Caenorhabditis elegans: one gene and its partner. The protein of the gene in region 1 interacts with the protein of each later gene in a pairwise test. Each region holds a gene or a part of one and is shown on either strand. Other genes may lie near its edges.

Region 1 (6,113 bases):
TGTACAAATACTCTTCCGATGGCAAATTGTATCCGATGACATACGACGTCTTCCATCCTCCAAAGAGTGGGAATCGTGGACGAATCTCAACGTCAACGCTGTCAGCACGGATTCGTACAGCGGATGTAGAAATGTTTCCGATCTCATCACGATAATAGATATCTTTAGCTTGAGCAGGAAGAACTGTGGTAAACTGTTGGAGTGCTGGTTGGCGACGTCCACGACGGTCCATTTGGTAATCGATTCTTGAGAATGGACCATCAAGCTCAGCTCCCTTGTGAACCAATTCAATGTACTCCTCCACAGCGATGTTTCCCCAGTGAGAAACCTCGATGAATCTTTCCACGATGGTGGCAATAACGAATGGCGAGTTATTTTCATAATGAACTTTGACTGGTTTCGTCTCAAAAGCTGGGATATTAACATATGGTCCGTAGATGACACGTTCCGTTTCTTGTTTCGATGGAGAAACTGTGGTTGCGGATAGAAGCTTGCCTCCTTGAGTGGTTCTAATAGTTGTTTTTTGGGTCACAGTTTCGTACAGGGAAGGAACGTATGCAGATGTGTGAAGAACAACAAATTGACTGTCAGATTGCTGAATCTTGGATGGGAGTGGCTCAAGTACTTGTGTGATACGAAGATTGATTCTTATGGTAACTTTGGCTCCCTTGGCAACAGGAGTTCGGAGGTCTACTTCGTAAACTGCAAGATCCTTTTCGGCTGGTTTTTCAGAAATTTTCAATTTTCCTTTGCTTCCATCGATTCCAGCAGAAATGAAAGAAAGAGTAGCAGATTCTTCTTTAGACAAAGCAATCTGAAAAATAAAGTTGAAATATAGGAAATATAGTGAATTTTCAGGAAAAATATATCTACATACCAAAACTTTCGATTGAGGTCCATTTCCAACGTTCTCAAATGAATACAATGTCGAAACCTTGACAATTTGTGACGTGGCATCGATGGTTCGGTCAACATTAGCGGCTTTCCAAGCGTCTTCAGCGAAAACCGCCCCCAGGAGAGCGATGGCAAATAGCAATCGCATCTGGAAAAATTAGATATACAATCAAAAATGCAGAAAACCCAAAAATGTCATATTAAAACGTTTCAAGAATGAAATTCGACTGATCGAGCAAGACGACATCTATTTGGAATTTAATTAATCAGCTCGTGTTAAAAAATTATCTATTATTACAATCTCAGCACAGAGTAACTTTATTTTGTCACAAAATCATTTAGCAGCAAAAATTCGCATGTACAGACTAGAAAAATGATATTTTTGTTTGGTGAAATCAGCAAAATTCATTATAAGAGCAAATTTCAAGTGTATTATATTGATTTGATGCATAAATTCTGCGAAAATCTATCTTTAAATTACAATAATTTCAGCAAAAAAAAGAGAAAGACGTGGTAAACTCGTCCACGTATTTTGAATCGGAGCCATTCGTGGCGAGACCCACCAGCCGGCATGATGACTGCGCCTTTAAACAAAGTCTGTTCAAATTATCATTTTTTCCGCGAACCGGCGCGGATTTTCAGATTTTCTAATCCAATTGTCATCGTTTTGTTGTTTTTTTATTCTTTTATTCGGATTAGATGTATTTCACTCTTAGTTTCTATTCCTTTTTTCCAAACTCTGACTCTCAAAATAGTTATTTTTCGATGTTTTCATAAAGTTGAAAAATATTCACGTTTTCGAGGGAATTAGTATTTGAATACGCTGTTATAGTTTCTTCGTGACTTAACTGTTTTGTTAATTCTATAAAATTCATTTCGAAATCTCAGCTTCTCTTTCGAATACATATATTTTGAAGGATCGAAAAATGGTGGCGACTACTCAACAGACACCAAAAGAGGCGGACAAAAAGAAAGCCGACGATAAAAAAGTTCCCGAGAAAGCTGAGCCAAAAAAAGAAGAGATGGTTAGTTTAAAGAATAACTATTGTTTAAGCCGTAATGAGACTTATAGCTTATTTATTTCAGAGCGAAGAGGATCAAAAACTCGAGGAGGATCTCAATCTTCTTGTTCAGCGTTTATCTGAACCGGACACAACACTTTACAAGCCATCACTGGAGACTATGCGGACATTGATTCGTGCTTCAACCACATCGATGACCTCTGTTCCAAAACCTCTCAAGTTTATGCGTCCGCATTACAATAAAATGAAGGAGATTTTCACATCGATCGTGGCGCCTGACGTTAAGAAACTTTGCGCAGATATCATTTCAGTGCTCGCAATGACATCAGATGAGCGAACCGACACGATCAACTATCGTATTCTTGGATCACACGAGCCGATCGGGGATTGGGGACATGAATACGTTCGTCATTTGGCGATGGAAATGTCAGAGGAGTGGAAGAAGGAAGGCACTTCGGATGCGAGAAAAGCTGAACTCCTTAAGTTGACTCAGGATATTGTCAGCCATCACATGAAACACAACGCAGAAGTTGAAGCGTGCGATTTGCTCATCGAAATTGAGCGTATTGATTTGCTGATCTCTTATGTCCAAGAAGTTGATCACCAACGTGTGTGCCTTTATCTTCTTTCATGTGCCCCATTGACTCCAGACCCGGATAACATTATTCTTATTCGCACTGCTCTCCAACTCTATTTGAAATTCAACCGGTATCTTGAAGCTGTTAGATGTGCTATCATGGTCAACGATATTCCACAGGTTCATCAAATATTTGCGAAGGCATCTGACCCGTAAGTTAAATATAACGTCTCTTACTTTCCTAAAGAAAAGTTTTCAGATTGCTTCGAAAGCAAATGGCTATCTTGCTCGGTCGCCATCAGATTTTCCTTGACTACGAGGGATCTGCAGATTCGGATGCTCTTGCCGAACTGAATTCCAATGCTCATCTCTATGAATACTTCCACTCCTTGGCTCGTGAGCTCGACATTATGGAGCCTAAAACTCCAGAAGGAATTTACAAATCTCATTTGGAACATTCCCGGCCATTCGGAAACTCTGCTCAGCCAGACTCTACTCGCATGAATCTCGCCGCTGCGTTGGTGAATGGATTCGTGAACTGTGGATTCGGAGTTGATAAAATGATGGCTGAAACAGAGGAAGCCTCCAGATGGTTCTACAAGAACAAGGAATATGGAATGCTTACTGCAGCCGCCTCACAGGGTCTTATCTGGAGATGGGATATCGATACCGGCCTGGCACAATGCGACAGATTCTTGTATATCAATGACGATTATATCAAGGCTGGAACCCTTTTGGCTATTGGTATTATTTCCTCTGGAATTCAAGATGCTTGTGACCCTGCTTCCGCACTTCTCCTTGATCATGTTCAATCTGATCGGTCAATTATGAGAGTAGGATCAATTCTTGGACTTGGACTTGCCTACGCTAATTCCAAAAGAGAAACCGTTACAAAGAATGAGGAACGCGGTGTTATTTTCGAGCTCAAGAAAGTTCTTTCTGATCAAAAGCCATCGGCTATTCCTGAAGTTAAAGGACTTGCTGGACTTTCTCTTGGCCTCATTCTTGTTGGAACTGCTGATGCGGAAGCTGCGATGGAGATGCTTCAAGCTCTAATGGATAAAAGCGAAACTGAGCTCACAGATCCAAATATGCGTTTCCTTGCATTGGGAATTGCATTGATCTTCTTGCAAACTCAGGACAAGAGTGATGTGTTTGTCGAAAGTCTCCGTTCACTTCCTGATCCATTTGGAGCGATGGTAAGTATTATTTGTTCTAGATCACCTCGAGTTTTGGCTATTCCCTTGTTCATATCATAATGAATACAATTTCAGGTTTCTACGCTCGTTGAAGTTTGTGCATACGCAGGAACTGGAAATGTTTTGAAAATCCAGAAATTGCTCCATCTCTGCTCTGAACACTACGAGACGCCAGCAGCTGAGAAGAAAACTGCCGCTTCTCGTGGACCGCGTGGACCAGCCCCAGCTGCTGCTACACCTGCTCGTCCTGCTGCGCAACCTGGAAATGTCAACGTCGCTGGCACTCCAGCCCCAACTGGAACACCCGCCGTTGCCCCAGCTGCTCCGAGACGCGACCTTCCAGGAGCCGCAAGTGCTGCTACACCAGGAGCTCCAGAGACTGCTGCCGCCGACGCTACTCCAGCACCACCTGCCAAGCCAGACTTGTCATCGCAACAGGCGGTTGCTGTACTCGGAATTGGTCTGATTGCTATGGGAGATGACATCGGATCTCAGATGGCTCTTCGCATGTTCGGACATCTCATCAGATATGGAGAACCAGTTATCCGTCGTGCTGTTCCCTTGGCGTTGTCACTTCTCTCCGTCTCAAATCCTCAATTGAACATTTTGGAAACTCTGTCCAAGTTCTCTCACGATTCTGACGCTGATACCGCTCACAATGCTATTTTCGCGATGGGACTTGTTGGAGCAGGAACAAACAATGCTCGTCTTGTTGCTATGCTCCGAAACCTGGCTTCTTATCACTACAAGGATCAAGTTTCTCTAATGCTGGTCAGAATTGCACAAGGACTTACTCATCTCGGAAAAGGAACAATGACGTTGAACCCATGGCATTCTGATAGGCAATTATTGTCTCCAAGTGCTTTGGCTTCTCTCCTTTCAATTTGCTTCTCTTTCCTCGACGCCAATAACACGGTTAGTGCAAGATTGATATTTCTACCATAATTTATTTCAAATTTAGATTCTCAACAACCGTCAGCATTACTTGCTCTACACGTTGGTGCTCGCAATGCAACCAAGAATGCTTACCACACTGGTAGAAGACGAAATGAAGCCTGGAAGCTTGAAACAGGTATAATTTTTTTAAAAGTTTCAACTCTCCAATGTGATTTTACAGTTGAACGTTTCTGTTCGTGTTGGTCAAGCCGTTGACGTTGTTGCTCAAGCCGGAAAGCCAAAGACAATCACTGGATTCCAAACTCATACTACGCCAGTCTTGCTTGCCCATGGTGAACGTGCCGAGTTGGCGAACGATGAATGTATGCCATCCTAACATTTGATAATTAATTTTTAACTAAAATATTTCAGATCTCTCTGTGACTCCACATCTTGAAGGATTGGTTATTTTGAAGAAGAATCCAGATTATCAGCCGGTTGTTGTATCAACTAAGAAGTAACCAACAAATTTATGGATCTAATTTATTTTTCTCCCCCTTTTCTCCCATCTAAATTATCCGTTTTGACCCGTTTTATTGTGCACAATCCGATTGCATTCGCTCTCTGCCCGATTTCCCGTTTTTCTGTCAATTTTCCCTCTCCCTCATCATTTTTTCTTTGAAAAAAACGTGTACACTTTAAATTTGAGTGGGACGGTATTCGAGTAAATTATTACTTTCAATCTTATCATCCTGGGTTTTATATATGTATTAATATTTATTGATCACAGGAATTTGAAGATCTTCTAGGTATCCTTATCAAAGTATCGAATATATCAGAAAATCCGTCAAGGTGGCGATTGTTCGACATTAGATTTTCAGCATCGTTCGCATACATCTGGAAATAAAATTTAGAATGTTCAAATGTGAGTTTGGAAATTTTAGTTTTTCAGTTTTTAGAAAAGTTTAATGAATTATTACACTCACCTCAAAAGTAGCCTTTTTATCCATAAAAACATCTTTCATTTCATCAATTTCATTAATAATATCACTTGTCAAATATATAACAACAAGTGTCATAATTGCCATAAAACATAAAATTCCAATAGCAGCAAAATCAGCGATGAAACGAAATTTGTATAAAAATTCGGATGTATTCATAGTTTCGAAAAAACTATAAAGTTTCAAAATTTGATGTATTAAATGGAAAAGTAATAGAAAGAAGAAGCAAATGACCAATACAATTAGACAAAGAATTGAAAACTACAGAAAACAGGTGATAAAAGATAAGAAAAAGTGAAGAGATTTAGAGATATTTGTAGAGACTAACCAGTTTGACGAACTATAGAAGTGAATTGTGTAAACTTTTAGACTTTTTGTGATTCAAAAAAAAACAGTTTGAACATTTGAAATCACAGTATTATTTAAAGGTGCAGTGTTTAGCAAAAAATTATCGTAACGAGACCCGGTCACCATATTTCCGGCACAAAAATCTAACAAATAATGTTATAAGCCCATTTCATAGTTTTTAACATTTCCCACCAAT
Region 2 (4,340 bases), on another chromosome or scaffold:
AAAGTTAAAAGCAACTGGGAAGCGTTATTTCGAACCAACTCTTTGGCTGATTTTCAAGACTGAAAAAAATAGCGAGGTTTGTTTATGATTTCTAGGGTCTCATGGACTGCGAATATTGAAAATGCGAATACTTATTCAAATAATGTGATGCGTACTTCTGCTTTCTGCCAAGATTTTAGATCAAAAATTAACTACGACTCAAAAACTAGGTGAAAGAACAAGTGTGTGCTGGAGCAAATTGATGGATACTTGAGAGAATGAGTGAATCCGCGCGGAAACATTTCCCGCTGTCTCCGCCTTCACTGCCCTTGTTCAATGTAAAACCAAAAACAATGCAAAGTATAGTGGATGGGAAGAGGAAGAAGTATTGGGCAGAAAACATGAAGAGGACACAAACATCTACTGTACGAAAATGATTAAACTTTGAGAAAACGGAAGTGATCGAAACAATTTTGACTAGTTTAATCATACTTATCGAAATTTCAGATAAATGATATTTTGAAATTCGACACCAACAAGAAGGTGAACATTGTGCTTTGTAATCTAACAAATGACAATTCCGGCAGAGGTGCCAATCATTCCTACATTCATTCCGTTCGAACTGACATGTTACACTGCCAACGTTCGCATATTACCCCCCGTTGAATTATCCTTGAATCCACCTTTCCCCTGTTCGTGTTTTACACTCATGTGCGGGAAACTCGGCAAAATTCACATTAGCTCACCTCGTCTCGGAGTTGTGATAATCATCCGCTTCGAAACCTGAGAAAGTTCAAAACTTTAAAGAAAAAATTGAAAAAAGTGTAGAAATAATGCAAGTCATGCATTGAAGTTTCCTAACAGAAAGAATACATAATGGAAGATTGAAAAATGAATGTTTTCTTCTCTTATTCACATGAATATTATCACAACCAGACACATAGCCAGGATAAATAAAGTAAGGTGGAAGTATTTGGTATTTACGGAAGCTTTCAAAGTCAATAAATTATGTTACTATTATCTTCATTATCCCAAACCGTGATCCTCGAAGAATCCTTGTGGAGTTTCTTCTTCTTGAATGAGATCTTGGGCAGCAATCGCCTTCAAAACTTGTTTTTTACTGGTTTCCTGGATTTCACCAGCCAGTAAAAATTCGTCGAGTATGAAGTAAGCTTTTTCGAAGTTGAAGATGATATCCAGCTCACAAACACTTCCAAAATATTTGTCGAGGAGTTCTACGTAACGATGAATGACTTCCAAAGTGATGAGCTCGTTGTCGTTTTGTTCGATGGCGCAGCAGAAATACAGAGACGCGTATCTGAAATTGTTGAGATTAAAAATTGAACGAATTGTTAAGTTTTTGTTTCATTTATCACAAAAATGTCTATTAAACAACTAAATTTGACGCCAAAATATTTTTCATGAATAAAAAACGTAATAACTTCGGATTTAGGTGTGTAACTATAATTTTCAAGAAATTTTGATTATAAACTTGTAAGTTATTTTCAGAAGGAACAATTTTAAGGCATGACAGGAAATGGGAGTTGTTACTTTTGAATATAAAATACGAACCGTTTGTAGACAACTTTCAAATCCTTGTATTCGAGGAACGCACACATTTTCGGTTTTCTCGCCAGAATTTGAGTGATGAGTTCGCGGCAAATTTTCTTCTTTTGCTGAAAATTGAGTGTGAAATTACACATATGAATAGGAAATACACTTACCTTGTCGGGGTAAGCAGTGTACCATTTCTGCAGCCGCAGTTTGCCCTGGCGACTGAAGAGAAGCATGTATTGCATCATGTTTACTGAAAACAAGAGTATGAACAATCGTTTGCAAACTTTAAAACGCTGAAAATACTTAAAAATCAATTGAAAAATTAGATTTTCTGAATAAAACAGACATGTGGCTTCGTCAATAAAAACAACGAAGCTCCGAAAATACGAAACCGCGCGTTGTTTAGTTCTCACCAGAGCGCGCTTGCATTGTCATCATCAACGCTGTATTTTTTTAAATCATTCTTCGTTCTACTTATTTTATATCTTTCAATTGTTTTCTTTTTCAAACGTGGACTTATTATTTTTCATATAAAATCATTATTTTCTAGAATGGGGCAACAACAGTCAGGTTTCGGTGGAAGAGGAAATGACCGCGGTGCCGGAGATGGAGAGAAGAAGGAAAAGAAGAAATATGAGGCACCGATTCCATCTAGGATTGGAAAGAAGAAGAAGGGGTCTAAGGGACCTGACGCCGCTAGCAAACTTCCAGCTGGTAAGTTTCAATCTAGTGTGTATTTTAACTGATGATTCGGTTTTAGTCACACCACATGCCAGATGCCGTCTGAAGTTGCTGAAGAGCGAAAGAATCAAGGATTATTTGTTGATGGAGCAAGAATTCATTCAAAACCAGGAGCGTTTGAAGCCACAAGAGGAGAGACAAGAAGAAGAGCGCGCCAAGGTGGACGAGCTCCGTGGAACACCAATGGCAGTCGGATCACTTGAGGAAATTATCGATGATCAGCACGCCATTGTTTCAACTGTAAGAATCAATATATCGATAATATTTTCTTATTTCAATATTTAGAACGTCGGAAGTGAGCATTACGTCAACATCATGTCATTCGTCGACAAGGAACAACTCGAGCCGGGATGTTCAGTCCTTCTCAACCACAAGAATCACGCCGTCATCGGAGTTCTCTCCGATGATACAGATCCTATGGTGTCTGTCATGAAGCTCGAAAAAGCACCACAAGAAACGTATGCCGATGTTGGTGGTCTTGATCAGCAAATTCAAGAAATTAAAGAAGCAGTTGAGCTTCCACTGACTCATCCTGAATACTACGAAGAGATGGGAATCCGGCCTCCAAAGGGAGTTATTCTATACGGTTGTCCTGGTACTGGAAAAACGCTACTTGCCAAGGCTGTTGCTAATCAGACGTCAGCTACTTTCCTTCGTATTGTTGGTTCGGAACTTATTCAGAAATACCTCGGAGATGGTCCAAAGATGGTCCGTGAGCTCTTCCGCGTTGCTGAGGAGAATGCACCATCAATTGTGTTCATTGATGAAATTGATGCTGTTGGAACAAAACGTTACGATTCGAACTCTGGTGGAGAACGTGAAATTCAGCGGACTATGCTTGAACTTCTCAATCAACTTGATGGATTCGATTCCCGTGGAGATGTTAAAGTTTTGATGGCCACTAACCGCATCGAATCTCTCGACCCTGCTCTCATTCGTCCAGGTCGTATTGATCGTAAGATTGAATTCCCCCTGCCAGATGAAAAAACGAAGCGCCGTATCTTCCAGGTTGGAACAATTTTTTCTAAACATTATATGAAGTTTTTATTTTCAGATCCATACATCTCGAATGACACTCGGCAAAGAAGTTAACCTCGAAGAGTTCATCACAGCAAAGGACGAGTTGAGTGGAGCTGATATCAAGGCTATGTGCACAGAAGCTGGTCTCTTAGCTCTTCGCGAGCGTCGTATGCGTGTCACGATGGAAGATTTCCAGAAGTCCAAAGAAAATGTGCTCTACCGTAAGAAGGAAGGAGCTCCAGAAGAACTCTATTTGTAAATGTGCCCCGTTTTATTTATTTTTTTTGTATTTTCTCTTTCCCAATTTATTTTATTCCCTTTTTGAACGTCCCGTTGCACAAAAACCGATTTAATGTAATTTTAAATCTGGATTGATTGAGGTAAATGATTCATGATGAAAAATATTCGTTTATGTGACATTGGGATTGATGGTTGGTAAGGAAAGTTCATGAATTTAATGAAACTGAAGAAGAAAAAAATGGAGAAAATCGACTTGAAGATTTACCAGTGAAGAAGTTGATGGTTTCGAAGAATAAGAAAATGATGTTACAGTTGAATGTATTTCTTATCACAATAATTGGAAACGGAAAGTTGGGGGAATTTCAGTAGCTAAAAGTGAAACTATAATGAGAAAAGAGAGAACTGGCTGAATTTAAAGATATGGAAATTGGATAGAAAATCGGGAAATTGTATGAAATTTTGTAATAATGAGAGCTGGACGGGGAAAATTACAAATGCACGCTACAGAAAATGATTTGAATCGGAATCTAGAGTGGTCGGAGATCAGCATCCGGATGTGGTTGAATCGGGGTTGGAGTTGAAACGAAGTTCATTGTTGGCTGACCAGAAGGTGTCAGACCAGTGTTGGAGGAAAGCAAGTCGAATGGGCCTGGAATGAAAATCGTTAATTATATTTTGAGAAATAAAAATAACACTTTTTAGCCCGGGATGAAACTGGAAAAATTTAAGAAAATTTTCGTATATTGTAGAAATATCGGCATTTGAATTAAAATTATGCAAATTTCTGGGTCTTGGCACGCCAA

What was found.
Region 2: the proteins of rpn-1 (region 1) and rpt-2 interact in a two-hybrid assay, tested with the Caenorhabditis elegans proteins (2 studies listed by BioGRID).

What each region holds. Positions count from the first base shown.
Region 1 is NC_003282.8:6,905,612-6,911,724, reverse strand, and holds rpn-1 (26S proteasome non-ATPase regulatory subunit 2), read left to right. Parts: upstream 1-1,811; 5' UTR 1,812-1,820; coding exon 1,821-1,919; intron 1,920-1,980; coding exon 1,981-2,705; intron 2,706-2,752; coding exon 2,753-3,692; intron 3,693-3,767; coding exon 3,768-4,607; intron 4,608-4,653; coding exon 4,654-4,764; intron 4,765-4,809; coding exon 4,810-4,951; intron 4,952-5,000; coding exon 5,001-5,089; 3' UTR 5,090-5,305; downstream 5,306-6,113. Other genes in the region: ribo-1 (Dolichyl-diphosphooligosaccharide--protein glycosyltransferase subunit 1), read right to left, coding at 1-814, 878-1,042; T22D1.17 (Col_cuticle_N domain-containing protein), read right to left, coding at 5,346-5,465, 5,555-5,728.
Region 2 is NC_003283.11:6,015,416-6,019,755, reverse strand, and holds rpt-2 (putative 26S proteasome regulatory subunit 4), read left to right. Parts: upstream 1-2,086; 5' UTR 2,087-2,087; coding exon 2,088-2,250; intron 2,251-2,296; coding exon 2,297-2,517; intron 2,518-2,562; coding exon 2,563-3,285; intron 3,286-3,331; coding exon 3,332-3,556; 3' UTR 3,557-3,707; downstream 3,708-4,340. Other genes in the region: picc-1 (PAC-1 interacting and coiled-coil domain-containing protein 1), read right to left, coding at 726-750; aps-1 (AP complex subunit sigma), read right to left, coding at 1,006-1,297, 1,552-1,655, 1,704-1,781; Transcription factor fos-1, read right to left, coding at 4,065-4,186. UniProt on the Caenorhabditis elegans protein: The 26S proteasome is involved in the ATP-dependent degradation of ubiquitinated proteins. The regulatory (or ATPase) complex confers ATP dependency and substrate specificity to the 26S complex.